Linked DNA regions of Saccharomyces cerevisiae S288C. Changing the gene in region 2 together with the main gene of any one other region gives a genetic interaction. Each region holds a gene or a part of one and is shown on either strand. Other genes may lie near its edges.

Evidence for each region.
Region 1: mutations in URM1 (region 2) and PAC10 impair growth when combined (synthetic growth defect), as found in Saccharomyces cerevisiae (4 studies listed by BioGRID, with this or other methods).
Region 3: mutations in URM1 (region 2) and TEF2 together harm fitness more than expected from each alone (negative genetic interaction), as found in Saccharomyces cerevisiae (4 studies listed by BioGRID, with this or other methods).
Region 4: mutations in URM1 (region 2) and ELP6 together harm fitness more than expected from each alone (negative genetic interaction), as found in Saccharomyces cerevisiae (3 studies listed by BioGRID, with this or other methods).

Annotation. Positions count from the first base shown.
Region 1 is NC_001139.9:639,236-642,001, reverse strand, and holds PAC10 (tubulin-binding prefolding complex subunit PAC10), read left to right. Parts: upstream 1-1,630; coding exon 1,631-2,230; downstream 2,231-2,766. Other genes in the region: YGR079W (uncharacterized protein), read right to left, coding at 170-1,282; PEX8 (Pex8p), read left to right, coding at 2,489-2,766. UniProt on the Saccharomyces cerevisiae protein: Binds specifically to cytosolic chaperonin (c-CPN) and transfers target proteins to it. Binds to nascent polypeptide chain and promotes folding in an environment in which there are many competing pathways for nonnative proteins.
Region 2 is NC_001141.2:340,649-343,344, forward strand, and holds URM1 (ubiquitin-related modifier URM1), read left to right. Parts: upstream 1-1,887; coding exon 1,888-2,187; downstream 2,188-2,696. Other genes in the region: long-chain fatty acid-CoA ligase FAA3, read left to right, coding at 1-780; NAS2 (Nas2p), read right to left, coding at 2,346-2,696.
Region 3 is NC_001134.8:476,135-479,568, forward strand, and holds TEF2 (translation elongation factor EF-1 alpha), read left to right. Parts: upstream 1-1,536; coding exon 1,537-2,913; downstream 2,914-3,434. Other genes in the region: transketolase TKL2, read right to left, coding at 1-303; MUD1 (Mud1p), read left to right, coding at 3,204-3,211, 3,301-3,434. UniProt on the Saccharomyces cerevisiae protein: GTP-binding component of the eukaryotic elongation factor 1 complex (eEF1). In its active GTP-bound form, binds to and delivers aminoacyl-tRNA to the A-site of ribosomes during protein biosynthesis.
Region 4 is NC_001145.3:896,597-899,762, forward strand, and holds ELP6 (Elongator subunit ELP6), read left to right. Parts: upstream 1-1,808; coding exon 1,809-2,630; downstream 2,631-3,166. Other genes in the region: UPA2 (putative methyltransferase), read right to left, coding at 1-73; PP1-complex regulatory subunit GLC8, read right to left, coding at 318-1,007; TGL3 (bifunctional triglyceride lipase/lysophosphatidylethanolamine acyltransferase), read right to left, coding at 2,783-3,166. UniProt on the Saccharomyces cerevisiae protein: Component of the elongator complex which is required for multiple tRNA modifications, including mcm5U (5-methoxycarbonylmethyl uridine), mcm5s2U (5-methoxycarbonylmethyl-2-thiouridine), and ncm5U (5-carbamoylmethyl uridine).

The DNA.
Region 1 (2,766 bases), on a different chromosome or scaffold from region 2:
TTGAGATACAGAGTTCCTTCTTATTCAATTGCCTATCAAATTAGCCAACTTGTCCAAATAGTAAAAGATATAGATCTTATAATGACATATTTTTCAAATCCTACAAAAACAAGTTACCCTAACACTGTATAAAAAGAATCTATTTATTGTACTGTTAATAGTACTGTTATTACAACATGAATTCACCGATACCAAAACCAGCTGATAACGTCTGGCAAACACCACTCTTTCTTCTTATGGCCCTCTTCAACAGCTTATCTCTTTTAGACAAGGGTTTCCACTTTTTAGAAATTGCAGAGGATGAGCGCAGGGAATTCTTCAAAAACTTCCTTTTTTTCAAGGTGAACTTGCCCTCATTGTCTCTGTAGCACAATAACTTGATATTGTAGTCCAAATTATCAAGAAGGGAGGAAGATGGTGATGAAGATGGGGAGGGTTCCATGGCTTCAGCACTGTTGATATCATCTTTGATGAAGTCCTCTATTCCCAATGTGTCGTTCGAACTCGTGGTGGCGTCGCCTGGATGCAGAGCCACGAGGGAGCATTTTCTTTGTCTTGTCTCCTGCAGGCAAATGGCCTCTTCTGCAGTGCCATTTACTTCCTTCCAGAAGTCCGTATTATTTGCGTCACTCTTGCTATTGTCGCCGAAAAAGAATGATTGCTGTATCTGTGGTAGAAAGATACTGCTCTCGCTGCTATCGTGGAAATTATTCTTGTTGTGATTTTCCTCCATGGGTAGTTCATTGTCCGCACTGTAACTAAATGTGCTGTTGGTGAAGGAAGGCTGGTGGCATGGGGAGAAGAGAGGATCAGGCTCAGAACTATAGCCGAGCGTACTTTCGAGGTCGTCATCATCGTCATCATCGTGTAAATCTCCGTTTTGGGTGCCATCGTCCTCGGTGGCGTTCTCAGATAGTGAACCGGCAGTATCTATCGAACGAGCAGTGGTGATGATGATTGGGGTGGCCTCGACTGCACTGGCTGTGGTGTTTTTACCATCTGCTGTCCCGCGAGTGTCCGCTTTCTTTGTGTGCGATCTGGACAAGGGAGTAATATCCTCCTTGGTGATGACCTTATTCGGTACCTGAAATGCCTTGCTGCTTTTATTCATTGCTACGTAAACTATGCTATATGATACAAGTGAACGCTCGTCGAGGGAATAACTGCTGCGTGTGCGTGAACGAGTAAATGAATGAATGAATGAGTTAACACATGAAAACGAAGATAATCGCAAAACGACAATGAACAAATAAACACATCCCTCATTTGCGGCACTGCTCATCTCATCTCATCCTTTATATTAGGAGGCAACGAGCTTTCTCGCTCACCAAAAAGAAACGTGCGAAAAAAACCGAAAAATAAAAAAAAAAAAAAAAAAAAAAAAGAAACGCGCTGCAGGAACGTGACTTCCAAAAAAGGAAGGTGCCGTTCCAATATGGAAACCGCAGGCACTCATGATTGTGCAGGACGGGTAACACATGATTTGTTTCGTTTCTTCGATCATTTTGCAGAACTGGTCAGAAAAGAAAGTGAAAAAATCTAGTTTAACACTATTGTAGAGGCTATAAATTGTAGACAACATTTACTGCAGAAAACTGTACGCACATATATAACAGATACTACGGTTATTATGGACACACTGTTCAACTCCACGGAAAAGAATGCCAGAGGCATACCGCAGGCTCCATTCATCGAAAATGTCAACGAAATAATTAAGGACCCAAGCGACTTCGAATTGTGCTTCAATAAGTTCCAAGAACGGCTTTCTAAGTACAAATTTATGCAGGAATCTAAATTGGCTACGATAAAGCAGCTGAAGACTAGAATCCCGGACTTGGAAAACACATTAAAAATATGCCAAAGTCTGCGCAATCACAGCGACGAGGGCGATGAGAGCGATGAACCTATCCTGTTGCACTACCAATTGAACGACACGCTCTACACAAAGGCTCAGGTTGATATACCGGAAGATCGGGCGGATTTGAAAGTTGGGTTGTGGCTTGGCGCAGACGTGATGCTGGAATATCCCATCGACGAGGCCATAGAGTTGTTAAAGAAGAAACTCGCGGATTCCGAACAGTCTTTAACGGTGTCCACCGAGGACGTAGAGTTTTTGAGGGAAAATATCACGACAATGGAGGTCAATTGCGCGCGATTGTATAACTGGGACGTTCAGAGAAGGCAAGACTTGAAGCAGGCTCAAGAAGGGACTAAAAACCTCAAGATATAATGTGTCTGTAAATTTAAATCCAAAGAAAAATAAAGGGCACTACATAGAACAACACAATCAACCTACATAGCTCTCTTTTTTTTTTTTTTTTTTTTTTTCTTTTTTGTTTTTTCTCAATTTTCTTCATTTTTTGCATTGTTACTACTCTCCCATTAAGGGAAATTCTACCAGGAAAACCGAAGAAGACAAATGCAAAAGGGAAATATGAATACGCATGTATGCGCGCAAAACCGCACTTACAGAGGGCATTAGGACATTATGTTTGATCATGACGTCGAATATCTGATCACTGCACTCTCTTCCGAAACGAGGATCCAGTATGATCAACGCCTGCTAGACGAAATCGCGGCCAATGTGGTATACTACGTCCCAAGAGTCAAATCCCCCGACACTTTGTATCGCTTGGTCGGAGCACTTTTCCGATCGCAGTTCATTGTCCAATTACCACCACTACGCCTTTTGCACATCGTCAAAGATGTTTTCCTTTGGAAACTGGAAGTTTCTGAGCCCACGCTCCCAATTTCGAAGTTTTACTT
Region 2 (2,696 bases):
GATGCTCAGAAATTCTTTTCTATCGTCCTGTGTCCTATGATTATCGGTTACGGCCTTACTGAAACAGTTGCGAATGCTTGTGTTTTGGAGCCTGATCATTTCGAATATGGTATAGTTGGTGATCTTGTTGGATCGGTCACTGCCAAATTGGTGGATGTTAAGGACCTAGGTTATTATGCAAAAAACAATCAAGGTGAATTGCTTCTAAAGGGTGCGCCGGTCTGTTCTGAATATTATAAGAATCCAATAGAAACGGCGGTCTCTTTCACTTACGATGGATGGTTTCGTACTGGTGATATTGTTGAATGGACTCCCAAGGGACAACTTAAAATTATTGATAGAAGAAAGAATTTGGTTAAAACCCTAAATGGTGAATATATTGCATTAGAAAAGTTAGAATCTGTTTACAGGTCAAACTCCTATGTGAAAAATATCTGTGTTTATGCCGATGAAAGTAGGGTTAAACCGGTGGGTATTGTGGTACCCAACCCAGGACCCCTATCTAAATTTGCTGTCAAATTGCGTATTATGAAAAAGGGTGAAGACATCGAAAACTATATCCATGACAAAGCATTACGAAATGCTGTTTTCAAAGAGATGATCGCAACAGCCAAATCTCAAGGTTTGGTTGGTATTGAACTATTATGTGGTATTGTTTTCTTTGATGAAGAATGGACACCTGAAAATGGCTTTGTCACATCTGCTCAAAAATTAAAGAGAAGAGAAATCTTAGCCGCTGTTAAATCAGAAGTCGAAAGGGTTTACAAAGAAAATTCTTAGAGAGAAGCTTATTACCTTCCCCTTCCATCTATGCACGGTGTCTCGTACTTCCATAGAGCACCGATTAGTGAATACTAAAACTATGTGCGTGATAAATGGTTCTCTTTTACAGATGCGGTAAATCAATTATTGATATACTACATAACATACAAACATGTTTCATTTCCGTAATACAAATTACAATTGTATAATTAAAAAATATAAAAAACTTCGTGATATGAAATCACATTTTGCTATTGAGTTTGCCACATGAGCGGTATACGAACTATTCGTTATTTTATGACTTTAAAAGCCATACCGAAAGTAGGCTTGAGAAGTATGACTACTGTAGGAGTGACCACTACTGTTAAATGCAGATAGCCGTCTTATGCTCTTCCCTTGTTCTTCTGAATTGGGAATGCATAGCTTGAAACATCAATCTTAATAAGGTCTTGTTTGTTTCTGCTTGGCTTTCATAGTAGCAAATAGTTTCGACCTTAATGTAAGAAATAAAAGCAATCGTTAATTTGAGTAAAGATAACCACTCTTCCTCTTCTACTATCAATATAATAAGAATAACGCTTATGGTTTATTTTAGCTTTTTTGAAAGCTAAACATTAAAAAAGAATAAAAATGCACGGCATACCTACATATTTTAAAAACATATATTTTATGATTGACTTTAGCAAAAGTTGGCGCTGGGTACTTTGAGACTCTTTCCTACAAAACGTTACCAACACTTGCTAGTCTAATCTAATCTACTTAATCAAGGTTTTAGTGGCGTACCATGTGACGGCCATCAAATGCCATCAGTTCTACAAGTTCACATATATTTATATATAACTATTCTCCTAACTTGTATAATATTATACCGAGACAGAGGATAGATTCAATTGATTTCACATACCGGATTATGTTCCTTCCCAAGTTCTCAATCTTATTTAGACTTTTTTTTTTAATTACATTGTCGCCCACTTCGGCAGAAAAAATATAACGACAAAGTAATGGCATCGCATCGACCTAATGAAATACTACTGGCAGACGGTATGGAGAGCTCAAAAATTCCCAAAGCAGAAAACAATACTGATTTCTGATACTAAAACGAGATAGGTTAATAGCAAAATCGGGATGGTAAACGTGAAAGTGGAGTTTCTAGGTGGACTTGATGCTATTTTTGGAAAACAAAGAGTACATAAAATTAAGATGGACAAAGAAGATCCTGTCACAGTGGGCGATTTGATTGACCACATTGTATCTACTATGATCAATAACCCTAATGACGTTAGTATCTTCATCGAAGATGATTCTATAAGACCCGGTATCATCACATTAATCAACGACACCGATTGGGAGCTCGAAGGCGAAAAAGACTACATATTGGAAGACGGTGACATCATCTCTTTTACTTCAACATTACATGGTGGTTAAAAATAGCAGCAAATAATTTTTAAGAAGCAGCTACATATATATATATAAAGTGCTGTACAGCTTGAATGAATCACAAGTTAGATAACGTAGGTAATATGCAGATAGTATAAAAAGTAATAGTAATAACTGGATTGGTTTTTTTTAGTACATGACGAAGATTATAGCTCTTGTATCCTACAACCCAAAAGACCTCTACCATTCCAGTTTCTCGAAGGTGTTAGCGATGTCTTTAGGATTTGCCCTTCTCTCAAGAGAAGGACGGGAAGTGGCCTGTCTTCATTTTTCATTACAACCATCTGAATGTTTTGAAGTTTAGAGTGGTTTGCCGCATGCACATTACCAATAGAAATCAGCTTATCATCAACCTTTATGTCTGCTTTATCTGAAGGGCTACCGGGTACTACCTCACTGATAAATGCAAAAGGGATGGTATACTGAATAGCTTGATCGTCGTTATTCCTTCTTGCATCTTGGTTTGACTTAACGTTCATATTATCAAAGTGCTGGTT
Region 3 (3,434 bases), on a different chromosome or scaffold from region 2:
CGGTGTCCTTGAGTTTACTTGTCTAAATTGTCTCAAGTCCTCGATAGAGTAATCGTATCCTAATAGATGGAGCATTGAGTACAGAAGAGCGCATGAGTGACCGTTCGACAGAACAAACCTGTCTCTATTGATCCAATGTTCATTGTTAGGGTTACAGCGCAGTTGCTTGAAAATTACATGGGCAACTGGTGCCAATCCTAGTGGTGCACCTGGGTGGCCAGATTGTGCGCTTTCCACCTGGTCAACGGAAAGTAATCTTAAAGTGGAAACCGCAAGTTTATCAATGTCGGAGAACTGTGCCATTTTTTTGTTCTTTTTTTGATTAGTAAGGTATAATCGTCTACGTAGAGGTTACAAATCGAAGACTACAGTAAGAGGGGACAAGCCAATTGAATATACGACTGAAATAAATGGAATAATTCTGCATTATTACACTCGTTTATATATCCAAACAGGTGATCTGGTATTCTCTTGACAACGAATGAAGCTCCCTATATTCGACACTCCTTATTCAGGACTCCTCCCAACAAGGAGAAGTAGGTGTTCCTTGAGCTACCCTTTAAAGCTGGGGAGATGAGCTTGCCCTTCCTGTCATCGCCATTATGACGAGAAAAGTAAAACATGTAGAATAAGGTCCACCCAAACATGTCCGAGCAATGACGTTATATATCGTGTTCCCTGTTCAAAGCATGGCATATGTGCCATTAAAGGCGAATTTTTGTCCCTAGCAAAGGAGAGACAGCGAGCCACCATTAAGAAGTGACTTGAAAGCAAGCGAAAATAGCTACACATATATATCAATATATTGACCTATAAACCCAAAATGTGAAAGAAATTTGATAGGTCAAGATCAATGTAAACAATTACTTTGTTATGTAGAGTTTTTTTAGCTACCTATATTCCACCATAACATCAATCATGCGGTTGCTGGTGTATTTACCAATAATGTTTAATGTATATATATATATATATATATGGGGCCGTATACTTACATATAGTAGATGTCAAGCGTAGGCGCTTCCCCTGCCGGCTGTGAGGGCGCCATAACCAAGGTATCTATAGACCGCCAATCAGCAAACTACCTCCGTACATTCATGTTGCACCCACACATTTATACACCCAGACCGCGACAAATTACCCATAAGGTTGTTTGTGACGGCGTCGTACAAGAGAACGTGGGAACTTTTTAGGCTCACCAAAAAAGAAAGAAAAAATACGAGTTGCTGACAGAAGCCTCAAGAAAAAAAAAATTCTTCTTCGACTATGCTGGAGGCAGAGATGATCGAGCCGGTAGTTAACTATATATAGCTAAATTGGTTCCATCACCTTCTTTTCTGGTGTCGCTCCTTCTAGTGCTATTTCTGGCTTTTCCTATTTTTTTTTTTCCATTTTTCTTTCTCTCTTTCTAATATATAAATTCTCTTGCATTTTCTATTTTTCTCTCTATCTATTCTACTTGTTTATTCCCTTCAAGGTTTTTTTTTAAGGAGTACTTGTTTTTAGAATATACGGTCAACGAACTATAATTAACTAAACATGGGTAAAGAGAAGTCTCACATTAACGTTGTCGTTATCGGTCATGTCGATTCTGGTAAGTCTACCACTACCGGTCATTTGATTTACAAGTGTGGTGGTATTGACAAGAGAACCATCGAAAAGTTCGAAAAGGAAGCCGCTGAATTAGGTAAGGGTTCTTTCAAGTACGCTTGGGTTTTGGACAAGTTAAAGGCTGAAAGAGAAAGAGGTATCACTATCGATATTGCTTTGTGGAAGTTCGAAACTCCAAAGTACCAAGTTACCGTTATTGATGCTCCAGGTCACAGAGATTTCATCAAGAACATGATTACTGGTACTTCTCAAGCTGACTGTGCTATCTTGATTATTGCTGGTGGTGTCGGTGAATTCGAAGCCGGTATCTCTAAGGATGGTCAAACCAGAGAACACGCTTTGTTGGCTTTCACCTTGGGTGTTAGACAATTGATTGTTGCTGTCAACAAGATGGACTCCGTCAAATGGGACGAATCCAGATTCCAAGAAATTGTCAAGGAAACCTCCAACTTTATCAAGAAGGTTGGTTACAACCCAAAGACTGTTCCATTCGTCCCAATCTCTGGTTGGAACGGTGACAACATGATTGAAGCTACCACCAACGCTCCATGGTACAAGGGTTGGGAAAAGGAAACCAAGGCCGGTGTCGTCAAGGGTAAGACTTTGTTGGAAGCCATTGACGCCATTGAACAACCATCTAGACCAACTGACAAGCCATTGAGATTGCCATTGCAAGATGTTTACAAGATCGGTGGTATTGGTACTGTGCCAGTCGGTAGAGTTGAAACCGGTGTCATCAAGCCAGGTATGGTTGTTACTTTCGCCCCAGCTGGTGTTACCACTGAAGTCAAGTCCGTTGAAATGCATCACGAACAATTGGAACAAGGTGTTCCAGGTGACAACGTTGGTTTCAACGTCAAGAACGTTTCCGTTAAGGAAATCAGAAGAGGTAACGTCTGTGGTGACGCTAAGAACGATCCACCAAAGGGTTGCGCTTCTTTCAACGCTACCGTCATTGTTTTGAACCATCCAGGTCAAATCTCTGCTGGTTACTCTCCAGTTTTGGATTGTCACACTGCTCACATTGCTTGTAGATTCGACGAATTGTTGGAAAAGAACGACAGAAGATCTGGTAAGAAGTTGGAAGACCATCCAAAGTTCTTGAAGTCCGGTGACGCTGCTTTGGTCAAGTTCGTTCCATCTAAGCCAATGTGTGTTGAAGCTTTCAGTGAATACCCACCATTAGGTAGATTCGCTGTCAGAGACATGAGACAAACTGTCGCTGTCGGTGTTATCAAGTCTGTTGACAAGACTGAAAAGGCCGCTAAGGTTACCAAGGCTGCTCAAAAGGCTGCTAAGAAATAAGAGTAATAATTATTGCTTCCATATAATATTTTTATATACCTCTTATTTTTATGTATTAGTTAATTAAGTATTTTTATCTATCTGCTTATCATTTTCTTTTCATATAGGGGGGGTTGGTGTTTTCTTGCCCATCAGATTGATGTCCTCCAACTCGGCACTATTTTACAAAGGGTTTTTTTGTAAGAGAAGGAGAAGACAGATACTAAACCATACGTTACTCGAAACAAAAAAAAAAAAAATGGAAAAAGCTGCTATCAACAAAAGACGGCCTCATCAAACCTAAAGAAACCATGTCAGCGTATGTATATACCTTGTAATTTACGTTTCCTTAAATCTTCTTTCTACTAACGTTTTCATTATTCTATACTCTATGACCAATAAAAACAGACTGTACTTTCAAAATTTACCCAGTAGGCCAGCAAATAAAGAAAATTATACCAGATTACTTCTGAAACACATTAATCCCAACAACAAGTATGCCATTAATCCGTCGCTACCCCTTCCCCACAATAAATTACAAA
Region 4 (3,166 bases), on a different chromosome or scaffold from region 2:
GGATACAGAGTGAATAATGTCTGGTTTGTGATAGAGGTTTCTCAACCTTTTTGAACTTCCTCGTGCTGCTCATCAAACTAAGTGATACACAGCTTTGTGGTCAGTAGTATATATTCCTGGGACCGGTAGTAGTTGTGAAACAGAGTACTCTCACTTGCCGATCACAGCTCATCGATGGGAAATTTTTCATGTATAAAATAAAGCTTGTTAAAAAATCAGTTCGTTTCGCGTGATAACAAACAGTGCATATTTATGTACCAAGAATCCAAAAAATAAGATATATTTAGTATAGGTAAACGTTATGGAGGTGTCATGTTTCATGGTTCTTTTGTCGTACTATCATCTTCGTCTTCGTCTTCGTCCTTTAGCGCTTCACGGGACTTTTTGTTGAAAATTGCCCTTACGTCGTAATGCTTCTTTCTCATTTCTTCAAATTTCTTATGTCTAGCCTCCGGTGAGTCTTCATCATTCTCGTCGTTGGTCTCAAAATCCGGTTGTTTGTTCTCTTTGATTTCAAATTCCGGTTCGCCCAGGGACAAATCGTCGATGTCATCGTTTGCCACCTGGCATGGTTTTTTATCACTATTATCCTCATCTTCATCATCATCTACTCTGTAGTATTCCCCGTGAGGGTCCACAGCACCTTGGTAGGGGGTCTTGGGCTCGTCTATGTGAATATCTTGGAACTGCTTTTTTGTTATTTCATTTTCTGCTAAATTTCTTTGGTTCCATTGAACTCGCTCTTCTGGTGTCATCTTGGCCAACATGTCTTGCTCATGTTTCAGTGACAGTGTGTCCTTTGGAAGGAAGGTACTCGATGTTCCAATTATCTCCCCCTCCTCTTTTGTATTATCTAGTCCCGGTATATTCCTTTTATGTGATGTCAATTTGGCATTTTTCTGCGTATTTTCGTAAACTTGTCTTCTAAACTCTTCAAGCGTTTCTGGATCCTGTTGCGCCAGCTGCTCCGGCGATAAGGCTAGCGGGTTTTTAAGTATACCTCCCATTATTCTGCTGATGTGCGTTCTTGATGATACGAACTCGTTGTACTGATGAAGCTCTTGGACTTTAAGTTGTAGTGGTGTTCTCAAATTATCCTTTCGGTGGAAGTCATTTCTCCCTAAAAAAGCGTGAGGGCAAAACTTGAAACCGGGTAAGAATATGCGATAGTACCGTTTTGCCTCTAAAGACAGTGCTTCAGAGAAATATTAGCAAGGTGTCGAATCAAGTTATACTAGATAGGAGGATTTCATAATGAATAATGCTTTAAAATGGTTCTCACCTTTATTTTATCATTTTCTTCTTTTCTTCTGCTATTGATTTGGTAGTGTTCGGGTTAATTCATTTTTTTGTTCAATAACAAGAACCAAACATAAAAAAAAATACTTTAAGAATAAACAAGACTGATGAAGCATAGATCATATTATTAGAGCGCGTAAGGTATGTAGAGCACAGATTGGTCCTTCGAGTGTGATTATATAATTTTATATACGCTCCTTAATTTAAAAGCGGCTTAGATAGATTTTTTATACTTTGCTGTTGGAAAATTCCTGCTGAAGCAAAAGAATTTGCAATTCGTTCTTAGCCTTTAACCCCAATTTTAAGGCTGAAGCCGTGGCTTATATCATGGGCTTTGTTTATCCAACTTTTCACATCTATAGTACGCTATCTTTGCATCTCTTAGGCATGAATTGATAGGCGATGAGCAGAATGAAAAATGAAAAAAAAATAAAAGTACTAAATTGAGGCTAGTAGAAGTTAGGCAAAAACCGTCCAGAACCTCCACAAAAATAACTAAATACACATTTATGGGTAGTGTTCAACGACAAGATTTGGTCCTATTCAGCGACCAATCAGTGCTTCCTGCCCACTTTTTCCAAGACAGCAACTCTCATAACTTATTCTTCATCACCCATCAATCCTGTACTCAACCACTATGGATGATAAACGCACTAGTAGAAACGCACGTGTTAGGTTCCCCAAGTTCCCTTAATGAATCTTCTTCATCGATGCTACCTTCGTCAACTCGCTCCCATGCAGTCCTTGCGTCGTTTATCCACGAACAGAACTATTTTACAAATTCATTAAACAAGCTAAAGATCCCATCTAATAACTACAATGTTTTAGACTTCCTGTCCGACTTCATCGTTAATAATATCCATAATAAGCCAAGAGACAAAATACTAAGTGACGTACTCGCAAAGTTCTCCGCTGCTATACAAAATAACCCAACTGACACCATTGTTATCATCGAACAACCAGAATTACTGTTGTCGCTAGTAAGCGGCCTAACTTGTTCAGAATTAAACAATAAGTTCATCACACCTCTTTTGAGGCAATGCAAAGTGCTAATCATTGTTTCCAATTCGGACATATTTAATATAGATGAATACGATGCTTCTGTTCATTCCTCGAATCTGCAAAATTTCTACAAATCTTCCTTTATCAAATCAATGATTAATTTGAACTTGAATCCTCTGAAGACCGGTTTTGCAAAGGACGTAACCGGCTCATTGCACGTTTGCAGGGGCGGCGCACCCATTGCAACTTCAAACACAAGCCTACACGTCGTTGAAAATGAATACCTATATCTGAATGAGAAGGAGTCAACAAAACTATTTTATCGCTAAATAATGATAAGATTATATACGAGGCACATTGATTCTCGTATTATTGTTTTTTCTATGAACTGAATATATTTTTAAGTACAATATCAATGAAAAATATATGCAATCGAGCTCTATCAATAAAAAAAATAAGACAGAAAAAAGTGGAAACGATACTACCTACTCCGTCTTGCTCTTATTATGTCGTCTAATTTAAATTCGACTGCACATCTTGTCTTAATTAAAGCTAGTGCGGGCCATGTACTTCGTTCACCAGATTTTATCCAGTATGGAATGTTGTTTAGTTGACCTTCAATAATCCTTGTTAATGATAGACTTTTCATCCTTGGTACCACAGCAATCTCCGTAGCTGATCTGGGAGTCTTTTCATCAATTATTAGTCTTTTTATTAATGAGCACAACAGGCCTAAATTATCCAATACCTCCATCCTATGTCGAAATTCCATAGTGGCAATATTTTTTAATTTTCTTTCCAGATGATACTTAAATTTAAACGCCAGCGGTTCCATTTCAGTAAAGTTCAACTGCGGTATGCCCAA